Drosophila melanogaster: one gene and its partner. The gene in region 1 interacts genetically with each later gene. Each region holds a gene or a part of one and is shown on either strand. Other genes may lie near its edges.

Region 1 (9,815 bases):
GGATACCATCACACCGATAGGGATTCCACCCGGAACCCATTTGGAGTTGGGTCAGCGGAAGCGTCTTAGTCGCGGCGACATTGTTCAAGCCAATTTGCTTTATAAGTGCGCCTCCTGTGGACGAACATATCAGCAGAATTCTGGACATATAGTGAGTCCACACTTTATATACTCCGGCAATGGAGTACTCAGCGAATTCGAGGGCAGTGGTGATGCTGGGGAAGATCCGTCCGCGGAATCTGAGTTCGATGCCTCGCTGACCAACTGCGAGTGGCGGATCACGGCCACCAATGGGGAAAAGGTCATCCTGCATCTGCAGCAGCTGCATCTGATGAGCTCCGACGATTGTACTCAGGATTACCTGGAGATTAGGGATGGTTACTGGCACAAATCGCCACTGGTGAGACGAATCTGCGGAAATGTCAGCGGAGAGGTCATCACCACCCAGACAAGTCGCATGCTTCTCAACTATGTCAACAGGAATGCAGCCAAAGGTTACCGTGGATTCAAGGCGAGATTCGAGGGTAAGTTTTAAACTTTTCAAAGAAAAACACAAACTAATTTTTCCATTCCAGTGGTATGTGGTGGGGACTTAAAGCTGACCAAAGATCAGTCCATAGACTCTCCCAACTATCCTATGGACTACATGCCGGACAAAGAGTGCGTGTGGCGGATCACGGCTCCGGATAACCACCAGGTGGCCCTGAAGTTCCAGAGCTTTGAGCTGGAGAAGCACGACGGGTGTGCCTACGACTTTGTGGAGATACGGGATGGCAATCACAGTGATTCGCGGCTCATAGGACGCTTCTGCGGAGATAAACTGCCGCCCAACATAAAGTAAGTTACTTTCAAAGGAAAAATGATCACTAACCAAGTGAATATCCACTTAGAACCCGCAGTAACCAGATGTACATCCGTTTCGTATCCGACTCATCGGTGCAAAAGCTGGGATTCTCAGCCGCCTTGATGCTGGACGTGGATGAGTGCAAGTTCACGGATCATGGATGCCAGCACCTGTGCATCAACACCTTGGGTAGCTACCAATGTGGCTGTCGAGCGGGATACGAGTTGCAGGCAAATGGAAAGACCTGCGAGGACGCGTGTGGAGGAGTCGTGGACGCCACCAAATCCAATGGCTCGCTCTACTCACCATCGTATCCGGATGTGTATCCCAACTCCAAGCAGTGCGTTTGGGAAGTGGTTGCGCCACCGAATCACGCGGTGTTCCTAAACTTTTCCCACTTTGATTTGGAGGGCACACGGTTTCACTACACCAAGTGCAACTATGATTACCTGATTATATACTCCAAAATGAGGGATAATCGCCTGAAGAAGATTGGCATTTATTGTGGTCATGAACTACCTCCAGTGGTGAATTCCGAGCAGAGTATCCTCAGGCTGGAGTTCTACTCGGATCGCACTGTCCAGAGAAGTGGATTTGTGGCCAAGTTTGTAATAGGTAACTTACAGAAAAAAATTAATTTACGTACGATCTATAATATCATTATTCCACAGATGTGGATGAGTGTTCAATGAACAATGGTGGCTGTCAGCACCGATGCCGAAACACCTTTGGATCCTATCAGTGCAGCTGCCGCAATGGATACACATTGGCTGAAAATGGACACAACTGCACGGAGACGCGTTGCAAGTTCGAGATCACCACGTCGTATGGAGTGTTGCAGAGTCCCAACTATCCGGAGGATTATCCAAGAAACATTTACTGCTACTGGCATTTTCAGACCGTACTGGGCCACCGGATACAGTTGACATTCCACGACTTTGAGGTGGAGAGCCACCAGGAGTGCATCTACGACTATGTGGCTATCTATGATGGTCGCTCCGAAAATAGCTCAACATTGGGCATCTATTGCGGTGGACGTGAACCGTATGCCGTTATTGCCTCCACCAATGAGATGTTTATGGTACTGGCCACGGATGCGGGTCTTCAGAGAAAGGGTTTCAAGGCCACCTTTGTCTCCGAATGTGGTGGCTACTTGAGGGCCACAAATCATTCACAGACCTTCTACTCGCATCCACGATACGGCAGTAGGCCGTACAAGCGGAACATGTACTGCGATTGGCGCATTCAGGCAGACCCGGAAAGCAGTGTCAAGATCCGTTTCCTACACTTCGAGATCGAGTACTCGGAGCGATGCGACTACGATTATCTGGAGATCACCGAGGAGGGCTACTCAATGAACACTATCCACGGCAGATTTTGCGGAAAGCACAAGCCGCCAATCATAATCTCCAACTCGGACACCCTTCTGTTGCGATTCCAAACGGACGAGAGTAACTCATTGAGAGGCTTCGCCATCTCCTTCATGGCCGTGGATCCACCGGAAGATTCTGTTGGCGAGGATTTCGACGCGGTTACACCCTTTCCGGGCTATCTCAAGAGCATGTATTCCTCAGAAACGGGCAGCGACCACCTCCTGCCACCCAGCAGACTCATTTAGATAAAATGAGAGGTCCAGCGAAGGGATTTAGAGTTTAATGTTTGTTGTTGAAATTTGTAAATAGATTGTGAATAAAAGATATTTCGAGTCATTTTGTTTACCCTATATTTTATTTTTAAAGGCACATAATATTTATATCTGTGATAATACACATTTGAATTTGGCGCTATAAAACTGTGCAACGTTCACACTGAGGATATCGATTGGTGGTGTTAACACATCTGGGTTACTCACAATTTATGTAAAATTACACAAAATAATATTCCTTAGAATGATCTTATCATATTAAATAATTTATGTTTAAAAATTGCGGACAAATGTAATCCTTATATTTTTAAGTCTATCGAAAACCATTCTGAAGACCCCTAACATTTCACAATCGATAGGTCGAATTGTTCGATAGCCCTTTGCTCCAGCAATCAAGCAATCGAGTATCGGCGTCGCTTCGTTTCGAATTTCAGTTCGAATTTGGATTTGTGCGGCGACGCTCTAATTTGTTTAATTTTTGTTCGTTAATTGTGTTAATTGATTAGTTAGTCGCTGTGTTAATGGACCACTAAGTTAGCTGCGAGCCCGTTTCTGTTTAGTTCAAGTTATTTCTGTTTTGGCCATTCCCTGCAATGAGCGCCTTTGAGGTTAGTTGAGTCCTCTTTTTGGAACTCCGGCAATAATTTTCCGAGAAATAACTAGATTACCGGTACTTACAGATCACAGTGACGCCATCGCGCCTAAAGCAAAAGAAGCGCGCCGAAGGACGCGAGCCCGCCGTCGTCGTCATGGCTCCGTTCTCCGCCAAGGCGATTGTGCAGTTCGAGGATGTGCCGATAACAAAGACAGCACGGCGCCAGGTGCGCGTTCTCAATCCCAGCGACGACGACATCGAGGTTAGTGGGTTGCATACGGCCTGGCAACTGTTATTTGATCAATGTTTTACAGGTCAAGGTAATGAAGGCCATCCGGGAGGAGCACAACTTAAGCCTGGAGTGGATGGAGCACACGGTGCCTGCAAGAGATGAGGTATCCATGGAGCTAGTGTGGAGCCCCGTCCTTGAGGTGGCCTGCAAGGAGACGCTGCAGCTAATAGACAACCGCAACTTCCGAAAGGAGGTGATGATCATACTCAAGTCCAAGAGCAACCAGCCGGTCAAGGTCAGTCAAAAAATGCATTTGCCACCCCTTTTACTTACATACCCTCTTTTGCATGTATCTCTTACCTTTCTACCTGAAGAACCCGCGCAAATTTCCTACTGTCGGCAAGACCCTGCAGCTGAAATCGCCGACAGGAGCTGGCAAGACAATGAAAAGCGTGGTATCCGCTGCTGTGCAGCAAAAGAAGCGCATGTCTGCAGCAGCAGCGCCTCCCTCCAAGCAGACATGGCGAGTGACTGCTCCTTCGCGTCCCGCTGCATGGGCACATCCACCTCCACAGGCTCCTCTTGTCGAGAAGAATGTATACAAGACTCCACAAGAAGAGCCCGTATACATATCACCACAGCCTCGCAGTCTTAAGGAAAATCTAAGCCCTATGACGCCAGGAAACCTACTCGACGTGATTGACAATCTGCGATTCACACCTCTCACCGAAACCCGTGGCAAAGGACAAGCTACCATTTTCCCGGACAATCTGGCAGCCTGGCCCACACCAACACTTAAAGGGAATGTAAAATCATGTGCTAATGATATGCGGCCGCGTCGAATCACTCCAGATGATCTAGAAGATCAGCCTGCCACAAACAAAACGTTCGATGTAAAGCATTCCGAGACTATCAATATTTCGTTGGACACCTTGGACTGCTCCAGGATCGATGGACAACCGCATACGCCCCTAAATAAGACAACAACCATTGTGCATGCCACGCACACCAGAGCTCTGGCCTGTATTCATGAGGAGGAGGGACCAAGTCCACCTAGGACGCCCACGAAGAGCGCCATACACGACCTGAAGAGGGACATTAAGTTGGTGGGTTCACCCTTACGAAAGTATTCCGAGTCCATGAAAGATTTGTCACTTCTATCGCCACAAACTAAGTATGCCATTCAAGGGTCTATGCCTAATCTAAATGAAATGAAAATCCGCTCGATCGAACAGAATAGATATTACCAGGAGCAGCAGATCCAGATAAAGGCCAAAGACTTGAATAGCTCCTCTAGTAGCGAGGCTAGTTTGGCCGGCCAGCAGGAGTTTCTATTCAACCACAGTGAGATCCTCGCTCAGTCCAGTCGTTTTAATCTCCATGAAGTAGGTCGGAAGTCGGTGAAGGGAAGTCCGGTGAAGAATCCTCACAAGCGCCGCTCTCATGAGTTGAGTTTTTCGGATGCACCTAGCAACGAATCATTGTACCGCAATGAAACTGTAGCCATTTCCCCTCCTAAAAAGCAACGGGTTGAGGACACTACTCTGCCCAGAAGTGCAGCGCCGGCAAATGCATCTGCAAGAAGCAGTAGTGCCCACGCCTGGCCACACGCCCAATCCAAGAAGTTTAAGCTAGCACAAACCATGTCACTGATGAAGAAGCCCGCCACACCACGAAAAGTCAGGGACACTAGCATTCAGCCTTCCGTCAAGCTCTATGACTCGGAGCTGTATATGCAGACGTGCATCAACCCGGATCCATTTGCAGCAACTACGACAATTGATCCATTTCTGGCATCTACCATGTATTTGGATGAACAGGCTGTGGATCGTCATCAAGCTGACTTTAAAAAGTGGTTAAATGCCCTTGTCTCCATACCCGCTGACCTGGACGCAGATTTAAATAACAAAATAGACGTTGGTAAGCTGTTTAACGAGGTGCGCAACAAAGAGCTCGTGGTGGCTCCCACCAAGGAGGAGCAGTCTATGAACTACCTAACGAAATACCGCCTGGAGACGCTTCGTAAGGCGGCTGTGGAGCTCTTCTTCAGTGAGCAGATGCGCCTGCCATGCTCCAAAGTGGCCGTATATGTCAACAAGCAAGCTCTGCGCATCCGTAGCGATCGTAATCTTCACCTAGACGTAGTTATGCAACGCACCATACTTGAGCTGCTGCTTTGCTTCAATCCCCTTTGGCTGCGCCTTGGACTGGAAGTGGTCTTTGGCGAGAAGATCCAGATGCAGTCTAATCGAGACATTGTAGGCCTCAGCACCTTTATCCTCAATCGCTTGTTCCGGAATAAGTGTGAGGAGCAGAGGTACAGCAAGGCATACACACTCACCGAAGAGTACGCGGAGACCATTAAGAAGCACTCATTGCAGAAAATCCTCTTTTTGCTGCTTTTCCTCGATCAAGCTAAGCAGAAGCGCATCGTCAAGCACAATCCCTGTTTGTTTGTTAAAAAGTCGCCACATAAAGAGACCAAGGATATTCTGCTGCGCTTCTCGTCGGAGCTGCTCGCCAACATTGGTGATATTACGCGGGAACTTCGTCGCCTGGGCTACGTTCTACAGCACCGCCAAACATTTTTGGACGAGTTCGATTATGCCTTCAACAACTTGGCTGTGGACCTAAGAGATGGCGTGAGACTAACCCGAGTCATGGAGGTAATTTTACTACGCGATGATCTAACCCGCCAGTTAAGGGTGCCAGCCATCTCTCGCCTTCAGCGGATCTTCAATGTAAAGCTAGCTCTGGGCGCACTTGGTGAAGCCAACTTCCAGCTAGGCGGCGACATCGCCGCCCAAGACATCGTTGACGGACATCGTGAGAAGACGCTTTCCCTGCTCTGGCAACTTATTTACAAATTCCGCTCGCCCAAGTTTCATGCGGCGGCCACGGTGCTCCAGAAATGGTGGCGCCGTCACTGGCTGCACGTTGTTATCCAGCGTCGCATTCGCCACAAAGAGCTTATGCGTCGCCACCGGGCCGCTACTGTCATTCAGGCCGTGTTCCGTGGCCACCAGATGAGAAAGTACGTGAAGTTGTTTAAGACGGAACGCACTCAGGCCGCAATAATTCTGCAAAAGTTCACCCGTCGGTATTTGGCCCAGAAGCAGCTATATCAGAGCTATCACAGTATTATCACCATCCAGCGCTGGTGGCGAGCCCAACAACTGGGAAGGCAGCACCGCCAGCGGTTTGTGGAGCTCCGAGAGGCTGCGATCTTTCTTCAGCGGATCTGGCGGCGACGACTCTTTGCCAAAAAACTATTGGCGGCGGCGGAAACAGCCAGACTTCAGCGATCGCAAAAACAACAGGCAGCTGCTAGTTATATTCAAATGCAATGGCGAAGCTATCAGCTGGGCAGAATTCAGCGACAGCAGTTCCTGCGCCAGAGGGACCTCATCATGTTTGTTCAGCGCAGGATGCGAAGCAAGTGGAGTATGCTGGAGCAGCGCAAGGAGTTCCAGCAACTAAAGCGTGCAGCTATAAATATCCAACAACGCTGGCGAGCGAAGCTTTCAATGAGAAAGTGCAACGCTGATTATTTGGCACTTCGTTCCAGCGTTCTTAAAGTTCAGGCTTACAGGAAAGCCACAATCCAGATGAGAATAGATCGTAATCACTACTATTCCCTGCGAAAAAATGTTATCTGCCTGCAACAGCGACTGAGGGCCATCATGAAAATGCGCGAACAGAGGGAAAATTATCTGAGGCTGCGAAATGCTTCAATACTAGTTCAAAAACGCTACCGCATGCGTCAACAAATGATCCAGGATAGAAATGCATATTTAAGAACCCGCAAATGTATCATCAATGTCCAGAGGCGCTGGAGAGCCACTCTGCAGATGCGTCGAGAAAGGAAGAACTACCTTCATCTCCAAACGACAACCAAACGAATTCAAATCAAGTTCCGTGCCAAGCGCGAAATGAAAAAGCAAAGAGCCGAGTTTCTTCAGCTGAAAAAGGTTACCCTTGTAGTCCAGAAACGTCGGCGGGCTTTGCTGCAGATGCGAAAGGAGCGCCAGGAGTACCTACATCTGCGCGAGGTTACCATAAAGCTGCAGCGCAGATTCCATGCTCAAAAATCAATGCGGTTCATGCGAGCCAAGTACCGCGGCACCCAGGCTGCTGTGAGCTGCCTGCAGATGCATTGGCGTAATCATCTCCTTAGGAAACGGGAGAGGAACAGTTTCTTACAACTGCGTCAAGCAGCAATAACACTGCAGCGACGGTACCGAGCTCGTCTGAATATGATCAAGCAGTTGAAGAGTTACGCCCAGCTGAAACAGGCAGCTATTACCATTCAAACCCGATATAGAGCCAAGAAGGCAATGCAAAAGCAGGTGGTCTTGTACCAAAAGCAAAGGGAAGCCATTATCAAAGTGCAACGACGATACCGCGGCAATCTGGAGATGAGGAAGCAGATTGAAGTCTACCAAAAACAGCGCCAGGCAGTCATCCGCTTGCAGAAATGGTGGCGCAGTATACGCGACATGCGGCTGTGCAAAGCGGGCTACCGAAGGATTCGACTCAGTTCATTGAGCATTCAACGCAAGTGGCGGGCCACAGTGCAGGCTCGTCGCCAACGGGAGATCTTCTTAAGCACCATCCGCAAAGTGCGACTTATGCAGGCATTTATCAGAGCAACTTTACTGATGCGTCAGCAGCGCAGGGAATTCGAGATGAAGCGAAGGGCTGCCGTAGTGATCCAGCGCCGGTTTCGTGCTCGCTGTGCTATGCTAAAGGCGAGACAGGATTACCAATTAATCCAATCCTCTGTGATCCTGGTGCAGCGCAAATTCCGTGCTAATCGCAGCATGAAGCAGGCACGCCAGGAATTTGTCCAGCTGCGTACTATTGCAGTCCATTTGCAACAAAAGTTCCGTGGCAAGCGTCTAATGATTGAGCAGCGTAATTGTTTCCAACTGCTCCGCTGTTCCATGCCGGGCTTCCAGGCACGTGCCCGCGGCTTTATGGCTCGCAAACGATTCCAGGCCCTGATGACACCCGAGATGATGGACCTCATCCGCCAGAAGCGCGCCGCCAAGGTTATACAGCGTTACTGGCGGGGCTATCTAATCCGACGACGTCAGAAGCACCAGGGTCTCTTGGATATCCGGAAGCGTATTGCTCAGCTGCGGCAAGAGGCAAAGGCGGTAAACTCTGTGCGCTGCAAAGTCCAGGAGGCGGTGCGTTTCCTTCGCGGACGCTTTATCGCATCAGATGCGTTAGCAGTGCTAAGTCGATTGGGTAAGTGATCCAGCTACGTTAGTCCTTATTATAACTAATCCTGCTTAATAATCCCGGCAGATCGTCTTTCGCGCACTGTGCCACACCTGCTCATGTGGTGTTCGGAGTTCATGTCCACGTTTTGCTATGGCATCATGGCTCAGGCCATTCGATCAGAGGTGGATAAGCAGCTTATAGAGCGCTGCAGCCGGATCATCCTAAATTTGGCCCGCTACAATAGCACCACGGTGAACACGTTCCAGGAGGGCGGTTTGGTCACCATTGCCCAGATGTTATTGCGCTGGTGCGACAAAGACAGTGAGATATTCAACACTTTGTGCACCCTCATTTGGGTATTCGCCCACTGTCCTAAAAAGCGAAAGGTAGCTAAATAGCGAGAGGATTAGGTTTTAGCGAGTTTTTAATCATATTCTTAATGCCTTCCAGATCATTCACGACTATATGACCAACCCAGAGGCCATTTACATGGTGCGCGAAACTAAGAAGCTCGTGGCCCGCAAGGAAAAGATGAAGCAAAATGCACGCAAGCCGCCGCCAATGACAAGTGGACGGTATAAGAGCCAAAAGATAAACTTCACGCCGTGTTCCCTGCCCAGCCTGGAGCCGGACTTCGGAATCATCCGCTACAGTCCCTACACGTTTATCTCGTCCGTTTACGCCTTCGATACGATTTTGTGCAAGCTGCAGATCGACATGTTTTAGATTTAGGAAAATTCATCTTTAAATGTTTAATGTTAAAACCATTCTGTGTTGTGTTTTAAAATAGTCACATAAATTCTTAGACCATGCTAGTTTTTTGGAGACAATTAGAAATAGTTTAAGATAATCTAAGACCGTCTTAACAATGTAAAATAATTAAGTATTAAGTTAACATGTATATGCTGCAAACGAAAAATGTAACTAATATTTTAGAATGAAAACTAAGTGCATTGTTTTTATAGGAAACCACAAAAGAAACTGAAGAATAAAGACAATTGAAAGTCAAATTCAAGTGTATTTGCTAACGCAGACTTGCTGCGCCTATGTTTATTCGGGTAGGTATGCATGTATTCACAAAACAATTACATATTTGTAATTATATAGTTAAATTAGTAATCACTTTGTCAAACACTTAGTTACACCGATATTAGTATGCAGTAGTTTACCCACTATTCGTGCTCCTCCGCCGACGACCACAACGAATGCCACTCGTGTCGCTCTTTCTGAGAGAGATTGCCCCAAGTATATAAGTTTAAATCCGCGT
Region 2 (9,367 bases), 6.8 Mb from region 1:
GGTTGAGGGCGTGCACCACCGGACAGCCCTGCAGGCGCAGCAGCGTCTTGTGGAGCACCTCTTCCTGCTTAAAGGATCGTAGCTCGACTGCGTTCTGCAGAGGATGGCAGAGCACATAGTCCCAGGCCTGGGCCAGTCCATCCAGGTGAAGTAGATGCGGCCGGCAGCTGAGTACATCCAACAAGGCGTTCAGCTCGCGCACCATATGGAACATGACCATGCGCTTCAGAATGCCGTTCCAGATCTGCGGCAAGTGTATATCAAAGCCCAGGCAAATGTTGGCCATGACTTCCAGCGAAAGGGGATTCTGCGCATTACGCTGCCAGATCATCTTCAGAATGTCAATCTTGTTGCAATGGTCGTCGGAGAACTTCTCCAGGTTCGACTTGTAGCCCAGAGCCTTGAGCTCGTGCACACACTTGATGCTGATGAACTGGCGTTGGCTAATCGTGTTGGTAAAGGAGTTGCTGCCATCGTTTAGCTTGGAATAGCACTCGTACATTTGCAGCTGTGTGGAGGTGTTTACCGAACTGGTGGAAGGGTTTATTCAATGAATTATTTTCGCTAACTTTTAAGTACCAATCCTTACCCGCCCTTGAAGATCAGACCCACAAGGAACTTGACTGCCTCCGCCTTTGGCCAACTGGAAAGTATGTAAAACGCTCTATTTACGTTCTCGCTGGCGTCCTGGCTGTTGGAGGACTCTGCGCCGTTGGCCTGCTCCGGCCAGTTCTGCTCCTCCATGAAGGTCTCCTCCAAAATGGTACCATCACCCGCAGACTCCATAGTCAGAGCGAGCCACTTCTGTAGCAGGCGGTACTGGATGGTGGCTAAGCAGAGGTCGTGCAGCTTGGCTATCTCTGCGACCAGAGCGTTAATATCCACTTTGCTGGACTTGAGGATCAGCTCATGGTGGTAGAGCGCCTGAATAAGCTCGGTGGGGTTCTCAACTTGGCGCAGTAGCTTCTCATCGGTCAGGCCATAGACATACAGCAGGTGCTGGGTCTTCTGAATAGGATACCGTCGCTTCACCTTGGCAACCTGCTCGCGACTCTTTGGATCTGTAATCAGGTGGCCCTTCTCCTTGACAAACTTCCAGCACTCGTAGGAGGCCTCCACCTGATCGGCTCCATCACGAGCATAGTTGGACACGAAGTACAGTATTAGAAATGCCTTGTTTGGGTTGTTCACCTTCTCGACCAGTCGTAGTATTGACTGCAGGAAGGCATTATTCGTGGGATGAAGACTCCATGATTCCGAATCATTTTTCGACTTGTACTCCGATATCGAATTCTTTACTGCTGACATGCAGAAGTAGTCACAGTTCTGGGAACTATCCTTGGATCCCTTCAAAGCCGTGTACATCTGAATCAGTGGAAACCAGCTTTGGCAGTTGTCCACGTTTAGTTCGCTGTCTGAATAGAAGAAGCGGAAACTATAATTAAACAGAAGCATTAAGCATTAAACTATTTCAGTTGAATATACCAAGAATATCCTTAAGAGGTTGCTCTACGATGGGCTTAAAAGGCAGACGATATCGAGATATCTTCGGCATAACGCCATTTTCCCTTTGTGATTTCAGCCACGTGTCGGTTTCCACCTGACCTGGCCGATTGCGTCTTCTGGTGATCATCTTGTGTCTCAGGAAGTGCAAAATGTTCATCCAGATTTCCATTTCCTTCGGAGCCGAATCGAAGTACATTAGGATGTTGATCACACACATGTACAACTCGTAGAAGTAAATGTTGATCTAAACGATTTGCAAAGATATTAAAAAAAAGATTATTTGTGGCATCAGTGAGCTTACGTCTTCAATAAAGTGTTTTAACTTGGAAGTAAAGAGCTCGACATTATTGATTTCATTAATGTACGGTTGGCACATATCGCGCATTTCCTGGGCGCTGCTTAGCATAACCAGTTCCTCGTCGCCGAAGGTATCCCTCTTCACCTCGAAGCGCAACTCCTGGGCGCTCAATATGCTTAGTATCTGGGTAATAAGAATCTTTTGGTAGTCGAACCCAAAGTCCTTGCTCATGCGTTCCAAAAGCTGAACGTCAAGTTGCTTATTGTGAAACTCCTTAAGCAGGTCCTCTATGTTGTCCATGTCGGCATTGAACTTGCCCTTTATTCTATGATCCTGTTGGCAAAACTCCAGGTAATAGAAGAGTTTCAATCTCCTGCAAACCAATAAAACGAAGTTTAACATCTAGACTTTTAATGTAATACTTCACTTACTTGGTGCGTATCATGTGCACACTGTCCAAGTCTTCGATATGCTCGTGGTACATGGCGGATAGTGTCAGGAAGTTGATTTTTTGCAGATCGGTCTTTACTTCAACGGAGAGCTTCTCCAGCAGCGCTAGTGCCTCGCTGTCCACCACCAACATGGTGAAAAGCTCTATGAAGTTCACATCTTTGCTCCCCATCGCATTTCGGAATATGCGGCGCAGCTGCAGCGTAATAAAGCCCTCGTTGATGATCCGCTTCGTGCGACAGTTTTGCTTCTGGAAATCCAGCAGATATTGCGACATAACGTACCAAGCGTCGTGCTCCTTCACCTTCGTCAAGTGCTCCAGTGACAGAAAGAAGTCAGCGCAAGCACTTTCGACATCCGCTTTTGTGTTCTCCGGCAGTTCATTGCGAACCTGCATCAGCAATGAGTTGTTTGGCTCCGTTTCGATTACCATAAGCAACAGAGTGCGAGCCAAGAACTTCACTATTGCCATGCGACCTCCGACGCTTTTCTTCGAAGACAACAGAAAGCATTATAACTATAGTCAATTATAGCTGTCTACGATCAATACCTTCTGAGGCTGCTGCTGGATAGGCTGCACTTCTACTTCATCAAACATGGACACCGAGTAGCGCTTCTTCGTAGTCGTTGGAACCGTCAGAGTCTTCACGTCAAAGGATCCGTTAAGAGCACAACTGAAGTTTATTGTGGTTTCGCCCAGGGCTACCGAAATCCCATCGAGGGCCCGGCAGATGTGCTCGTTGACGGCCTGCTCCTTGCCGTCGTAGTGACTCTTAATGGCGTCTAGCGGGTAGTGGATTACGGCCACGCGTATGTATTTGATGAGTTCAACTAGATCGTGACGACGGCTGCTCTCGTGGAGCAGGGCGGAGGTGAGCAACTCGTACGCTAAATAAAAGCTAAGCGGATCGTTTTCATTGATCAACTGCAGGGAGGAGGCCGTTTCTGCAAAACATAAATGGATTTTTCGTTCAATCCCATTGTTGCATAGCTGTATACGACTTACCCTGATTCTTTCCCTTGGCGCTTTCAATTTGCTGAACCAGCAGCTCAAGTGCAAGATTGACGAACTCGCCTGCATTGGCGGGCACACAGTCGACGAAGCTTACAACATGATAAGCGAGGGCGCAGCTGAGGGGCAGGCATCCAATGCGTTGGCAAATGCGGTGCAAACCAAATACTTTCGGAAGACCGAGAGCGGTACACAGTTCGCTTATTTCGCTGGCTATGAATGCGGACACATTCAGCGTGGCCTGGGCCCGCTCAATTATCCTTTCAATGGCCTCATCCAGAAGGCAATGACGTCTGTGCAGCGGTATCAGCTCGCTGCTGCAGCTCAAAAGGATGCCGAATTTCCTTAGGCGGAAACGATGCTTGATCACTAGGTAGCGGCGCTCATAAACGGACTCAACATGCGGCAAGAACAACTTAAAAAGCTCAAGGACGTTCAGGTGCTCCTGCACTTTAATATCACTTTCAAACGAAGCAGAGGAGCTGTTCTCCAAGATGTTAGCCATGATCTCCACCACTTCCTTCGCGCTCTTCGAATTTTTCTCACCATTCAGCTTTTTGAAGAATTCATAAGCCATCTCAACTTGTCCTCTCCGTGCCATTTGATAGCAGCAGTTAAAGTTGGCACTAGTTGATAACTCCGGCGCCGCCTTGGTGAGGGCGCTGATGTCGTCCAGCATGTCCGGAAGGTTCAACTTCACAATGCGCATCATGAAAAGCTCCAGGTTGATATCGGAGCTGTCGGCCGGCCAGCCGTACTTGACCTTCATGATCTTAATCACCTGAATCTCATACTCGGCATTGATCTTCACGGCCAATGGATGAGTGGAGGCACGCAGCCGGATTAGAGGAGCTAGTGTATCAGGCCAGGGCACAGGTGCGTTTTGCAGCACAGACAAGGCGCACTCCAAACGGCTGTCTTCGTTGTGAAGCAGCTCAATGCAAGCCATCGCCCGATCCAGCCATGAACTAGAAGATAGCCGACTGGCTACTAACTGTGATATGTACTGTTTAATCACGTCCAGTGGCTGCCGTCCCTTCTCCTGGAAGATCGGGTACATGAAGTTCTTCACCAGACGCTGAAGCTTATCTAGTTGAACGTGTTGCAAAATGCTCAACGCAGTGGCGTCGATGGAATCCTGCATGTAGTTGTCCAGTGTAAAGCCCATGTTATAGTTGGTCTTAAGCACAGAAAGATCCTGCAGTGCGTTGACAAGATCCCGCAGTTTTCCAACGTTGCGCTCTTGCTGACGCCGCACATCGCTGAAACGGATATACAAGTTAAATCTATCATATTTTAGGGCGAAAAAAGGATTTGCCTACGAGTAAGTAAACTGGATTTCCTCAAAAATGTCCAGTATCTTTGTGCAGAACTCCAGGCCGATATCCGGCCAATGCGGACTATACTGCAGATTCCGCGTCATCTCAATACTCCAGTCAGTGATAAAGGGCATTATGCTAGGATGGGTGTTGCTGACCATCGGAATGAACTGACGCAACCACTGGACAACGTTGAAGGGCTTGGTGTTGCTCGGAATGAACCCTAAAAGCGTGCGCAACTCATCTTCGTTTAGCAGCGGCAGAATGCTGCTCGAATGCCGCCGCCAAATGAGACAAGCCGTGGGCATATCTGTGTTGAATAGCGACTTGACCATCCTGACCAAGTTGTTATCGTAAATAAACTTCTGCCAATCCGTGTTGCATTCGTAGGGATCTATTATGGCCAGAGTTTTAAGTCGGTGCAGTTGCTCGTCGATTTCCAACATATCCTCCTCGTCGTCCTCAAAAGTCAACCGCTTCTTGACCTCGTGAAGATACCGCTCAAGGATGTGCCTCGAGTTCAAGTTGATCATGCGATGGCTCTTTATGAATGCCTTACTTTCCACCTGAGACAGCAGTTGCAGCAAGTCTTGGAATTTAGTGTCCACGTTTTGTGAATTCGAGTTGCAAAGCTCGACCAAAATGCGTTTCGCTTTGGCTTCATAGATGGGCTGGAGGCACAGCTCAAACTGCTTGCCAAATTCCTGTTGCAAATGTTAATGGATAATGAATGACTAAGAGATCAATTATACTCAATACCTCAGCCTCCTCCAGTCGCCCCTTGCAAATCAGCTTCTTAAAACGATCACTGGGGTCGGTCTCGGAAACGAGCATCATCTCCACCACGGAGGGTATGCTGCTCTGGTTGACTTCCTTGGCAGCCAGATAATACAGATTGACCGCACACTTAGGCTGACGCACAAGCCATGCGTGATCAGGAACTTCTACCTCGTTCTTCACATTGAGCGCTGCAATGACACAAGGTTTTTAGCCTTACTGTATGTTTATGTTTTATGTTTGCTGGACTCATACTTGGGTACTCCACTATCTTAATGAAGCGTCCCTCCGCCGTTGATTTCGTCAGCACCAGAAGCTCAATGTTATCTTCGCTGCACTCCATAACCAGCAGATCCTCGATGAGCAGATTTTTTTGTTGGGTAGTTTGACACATGTACACTGTGCGAGTGTATGGACAAATCTCCACCAAGTGGCCGGAATCGGTGAGTGCGATACTGCAAAACCCAGATACACGTTAGAGGGATTCTAGCACCACAATAAGCAAACCCACTCACATATAGTGTTCCAAGTTGAAGATCTGCTTTAGGCTGCCGTACTGAGCGGGCAAATTTATTCGTGTCACGTCATTGGCTGCATTCCTAAAGTTCATAGTGCTTTGATCTCCAGTGATAACTAGACCGGGTTGCGCCTCCAGATCATCCTGATTGTTCTCGGCACTGATGTTGCCGGTCAGCAGCCGCTTGAGCAGCACTGCACAGTCCACGCTGCACGAGGATCTGCCCTTGGAAAGACGTTGAATGGTGACGTCCTCGAGCAGGGCCTTTTCGCAAGCTATAGTTTCGTTTTCATTCAGGCTCATATTGCCTAACGTTTCCAAGCAGGTCTCATCAATGTCGCTTAAGCTACACAGCGTTTGAATCGTTTAATGAAATAATGTCAAGATCCAGTTTTATCACGCATATGCCAGAGCCCATCTCTGTGAATGGCTTACCTATAGATGCTTCCATTCTTACAGGTGAAGTAAAACCGCTGATCCAGTTGATGGATGCTCCGGAAGGTCCCGCCAGTTAGGCTCACGTCCTCCAGATTGACGGCCACGCTGAACAGGAGCAGGCCCTTGATGAACACTCCGTGAACTTCGCCATCGCTGAGGCCGCATACAATCAGGTTGCCGCTTGAAGAAATGGCAATGGCCTCAATGGCTGCCCCGAATGCCAGAAAGCTGCACTTGGCCACCAGTTCGTCCTCCAGGAGCAAAAGGCTCTTGTCGATGCCAATGACCATCTTGCCGCACTGCACGGAGGCCATGACATCTGGATATTTGTTTACCTGACAATGAAAGAAGGCGAGCGTAGAAACCCAACTGCAGATTCTGCACAATAAGGACTCACTTCCTCTTCACTGCTTATTTGGAAGATGCCTCGCGACGAAAATATGTTGGAGATGGTTTCGTCCTCCAGGGAGGACGCCTCGAAGTTGCTCCACATTGCTGTTCAATCCGCTCTAGCCTAATGTGCAAAACCTGCCAATTTTAAACTCTTTATTTAAACACCGCCAATAAACAAGCGTCGCCTGAGAGTTTGCCGATAACATTACCCGCATATCGATAGACGATTGGCGGCATGAAGACACACTACGTATTGACCTTGGGGCTAATACGTTTACGCAATTTATATTTATTACTTAAATGACGTATGTCCAAATCGTAATTTCTCCTTTAAACCTATTACTTTTTAAATGTTAACGTAGTTGCAAACTACTTCGTGCTGGCTTGCTTTGGCCACACTGAGCCGCCGACGGAATTCCGGCATTTCTCTTGACGTGCGCAAACGGTCACACTGGCGGACTTGCAATGAAAATTATTTATATTTCGCTTCTTCGCACGCAAAAATTGGTCAAAATAAACAAAGGTTAATGTGCTGCTGCTATATAACGGTTCAGTGGTCAGTCCGCCGGACCGCCGAATCCGCGTAACGGTAATCCGTGCGTGTGCCGCTCCTATAAACGGCGCTAATTAAAAGTGGATGCTGCAGTGGCCATCAAATCAACAAAAAGCCAACCGAAAACGCAGGCTTCACAAATCGCGTAAACCCTAACACAATTTCCTTGGGAAATAACCGCCGGTTGTTTTGTTTTCCGATTAAAGACAAACGCAAAAAGAACCCGTAAATAAACAACAGTTAAGCGCTGCACTGCAATTAAAACGGAACGGGAAGCGCAGCGGAGGACATAAAATCGCTGGCAAGAAGAAGAGCGCTGCCAGAAAGCGCCCTTTGAAGGGTTTATGAAGGGGAATTAGTGGCAAACCGCAGTGCAGAGTGCTAAAAAAACGAACTCCTGACCTGAAGTGATCAAGGATCAGTAAGAAACTGAGAAGCGGCAGGTGCTTGGCGCTTTGAAACGAGACAACACGACGCTGGGTTTCCAGGGTAGAGTTGCCAACCCGAAAAATAAGCGGGGTTGCCGTTCGTTGCGCCGAAAGTGTTTACCTGCGTTTTGGGAGTCAGTTGCTTTAAAAACGCGATTTTCATAAGGGTCCTGGCCAGGAGATGTCTTGGTGAGTAGTTGAGGAGGACTGACCCACAGGATGCCAGATACTCATTTGGCACCCTTCACACTCCCAGGAACTCAAACTCCAGGCGGTCGCAGGCCGGATAACCGGCAGAAAGCCCAAGCCCACCAAGCATAACCCATTGTAGTTGGTCACCGAAGGATCCAGTGGATTTGTGCCCACCTCCCTAGGGACATCAGAACCAAACCCACTCCTTTACCAGCGTCGAGATCTCCTGCGCGGGATTGGCGACGCCGCTACAACCGAATTTCTTGCCCCACGCCGTTGAAGAAAAGCTGCCACCATTCGGAAGAAGAACACCTCGAATATGACCCACAATCTTGGTATGGCGCCATATCGATTGCCGGGTCCAGCGGGCGGACTCTGTCCGCCCGATTTTAAGCCGCCGCCTCCCACGGACATCATCTCGGCGCCGAGCAATCCGAAGAAGCGGCGAAAAACCTCAAGTGCCGCCAACTCCGCTGCAGCGGTGGCTGCGGCGGCGGCTGCAGCAGCTGCTGCGAATTCCATGCAGCAGCAGCAGGCGCCACCCACACCGCAGGATTTGCTGCCCCCTCCGCCAATGGGAGGCTTCGGAGACACCATTATTGCCTCGAATCCATTCGACGACAGTCCCCAGGTGTCGGCGATGTCCAGCTCAGCGGCCGCGGCGATGGCGGCCATGAATCAGATGGGCGGCGGACCAGGAGGTGGTCACTTTGGCGGCGGTGGACCGGGTGGGCACCCGCACTGGGAAGACCGCATGGGCATGGGCGGTGGACCTCCTCCCCCGCCTCACATGCATCCCCATATGCACCCGCATCATCCAGGCGGACCTATGGGTCACCCACATGGCCCACATCCGCACATGGGTGGTCCACCTCCAATGCGAGGAATGAGCCCCATGCACCCCCATCAAATGGGACCGGGACCAGGCGTCGGACTACCGCCGCATATGAATCACGGAAGGCCAGGGGGACCTGGTGGTCCTGGAGGACCCGTCCCAATGGGTAGTCCCATGGGTGGAATAGCTGGCATGGGCGGCATGAGCCCAATGGGCGGAATGGGAGGCCCCAGCATATCACCCCATCACATGGGCATGGGTGGTCTGTCGCCCATGGGAGGCGGTCCCAACGGACCCAATCCGCGAGCCATGCAGGGTTCACCGATGGGCGGTCCGGGGCAGAACTCGCCAATGAACTCACTGCCTATGGGTTCGCCAATGGGCAATCCAATTGGCAGCCCGTTGGGCCCTCCCTCGGGACCGGGCCCTGGGAATCCCGGCAATACCGGCGGACCACAGCAGCAACAACAACAACCTCCGCAGCCACCGATGAACAACGGGCAGATGGGTCCTCCTCCTCTGCACAGTCCGCTCGGAAACGGACCAACGGGTCATGGCAGTCACATGCCTGGAGGACCAATCCCAGGACCAGGTCCTGGGCCTGGCGGCCTAGTAGGTCCCGGTGGCATCTCCCCCGCGCACGGCAATA

What was found. A genetic interaction does not mean that the proteins touch.
Region 2: of asp (region 1) and rod, changing one suppresses a phenotype caused by changing the other (phenotypic suppression), as found in Drosophila melanogaster (one study listed by BioGRID).

Annotation. Positions count from the first base shown.
Region 1 is NT_033777.3:24,750,959-24,760,773, forward strand, and holds asp (abnormal spindle), read left to right. Parts: upstream 1-2,890; 5' UTR 2,891-3,082; coding exon 3,083-3,097; intron 3,098-3,169; coding exon 3,170-3,346; intron 3,347-3,398; coding exon 3,399-3,611; intron 3,612-3,690; coding exon 3,691-8,572; intron 8,573-8,632; coding exon 8,633-8,934; intron 8,935-8,998; coding exon 8,999-9,274; 3' UTR 9,275-9,555; downstream 9,556-9,815. Other genes in the region: tld (tolloid), read left to right, coding at 1-524, 576-837, 891-1,459, 1,516-2,462. UniProt on the Drosophila melanogaster protein: Required to maintain the structure of the centrosomal microtubule organizing center (MTOC) during mitosis. May have a preferential role in regulating neurogenesis. Required for germ cell mitosis and oocyte differentiation.
Region 2 is NT_033777.3:31,578,466-31,587,832, reverse strand, and holds the start of rod (rough deal), read right to left. Parts: upstream 6,883-9,367; 5' UTR 6,811-6,882; coding exon 6,715-6,810; intron 6,653-6,714; coding exon 6,315-6,652; intron 6,226-6,314; coding exon 5,878-6,225; intron 5,818-5,877; coding exon 5,618-5,817; intron 5,554-5,617; coding exon 5,345-5,553; intron 5,290-5,344; coding exon 4,589-5,289; intron 4,529-4,588; coding exon 3,261-4,528; intron 3,200-3,260; coding exon 2,805-3,199; intron 2,745-2,804; coding exon 2,236-2,744; intron 2,178-2,235; coding exon 1,808-2,177; intron 1,751-1,807; coding exon 1,486-1,750; intron 1,416-1,485; coding exon 590-1,415; intron 531-589; coding exon 1-530. Other genes in the region: pygo (pygopus), read left to right, coding at 8,203-9,367.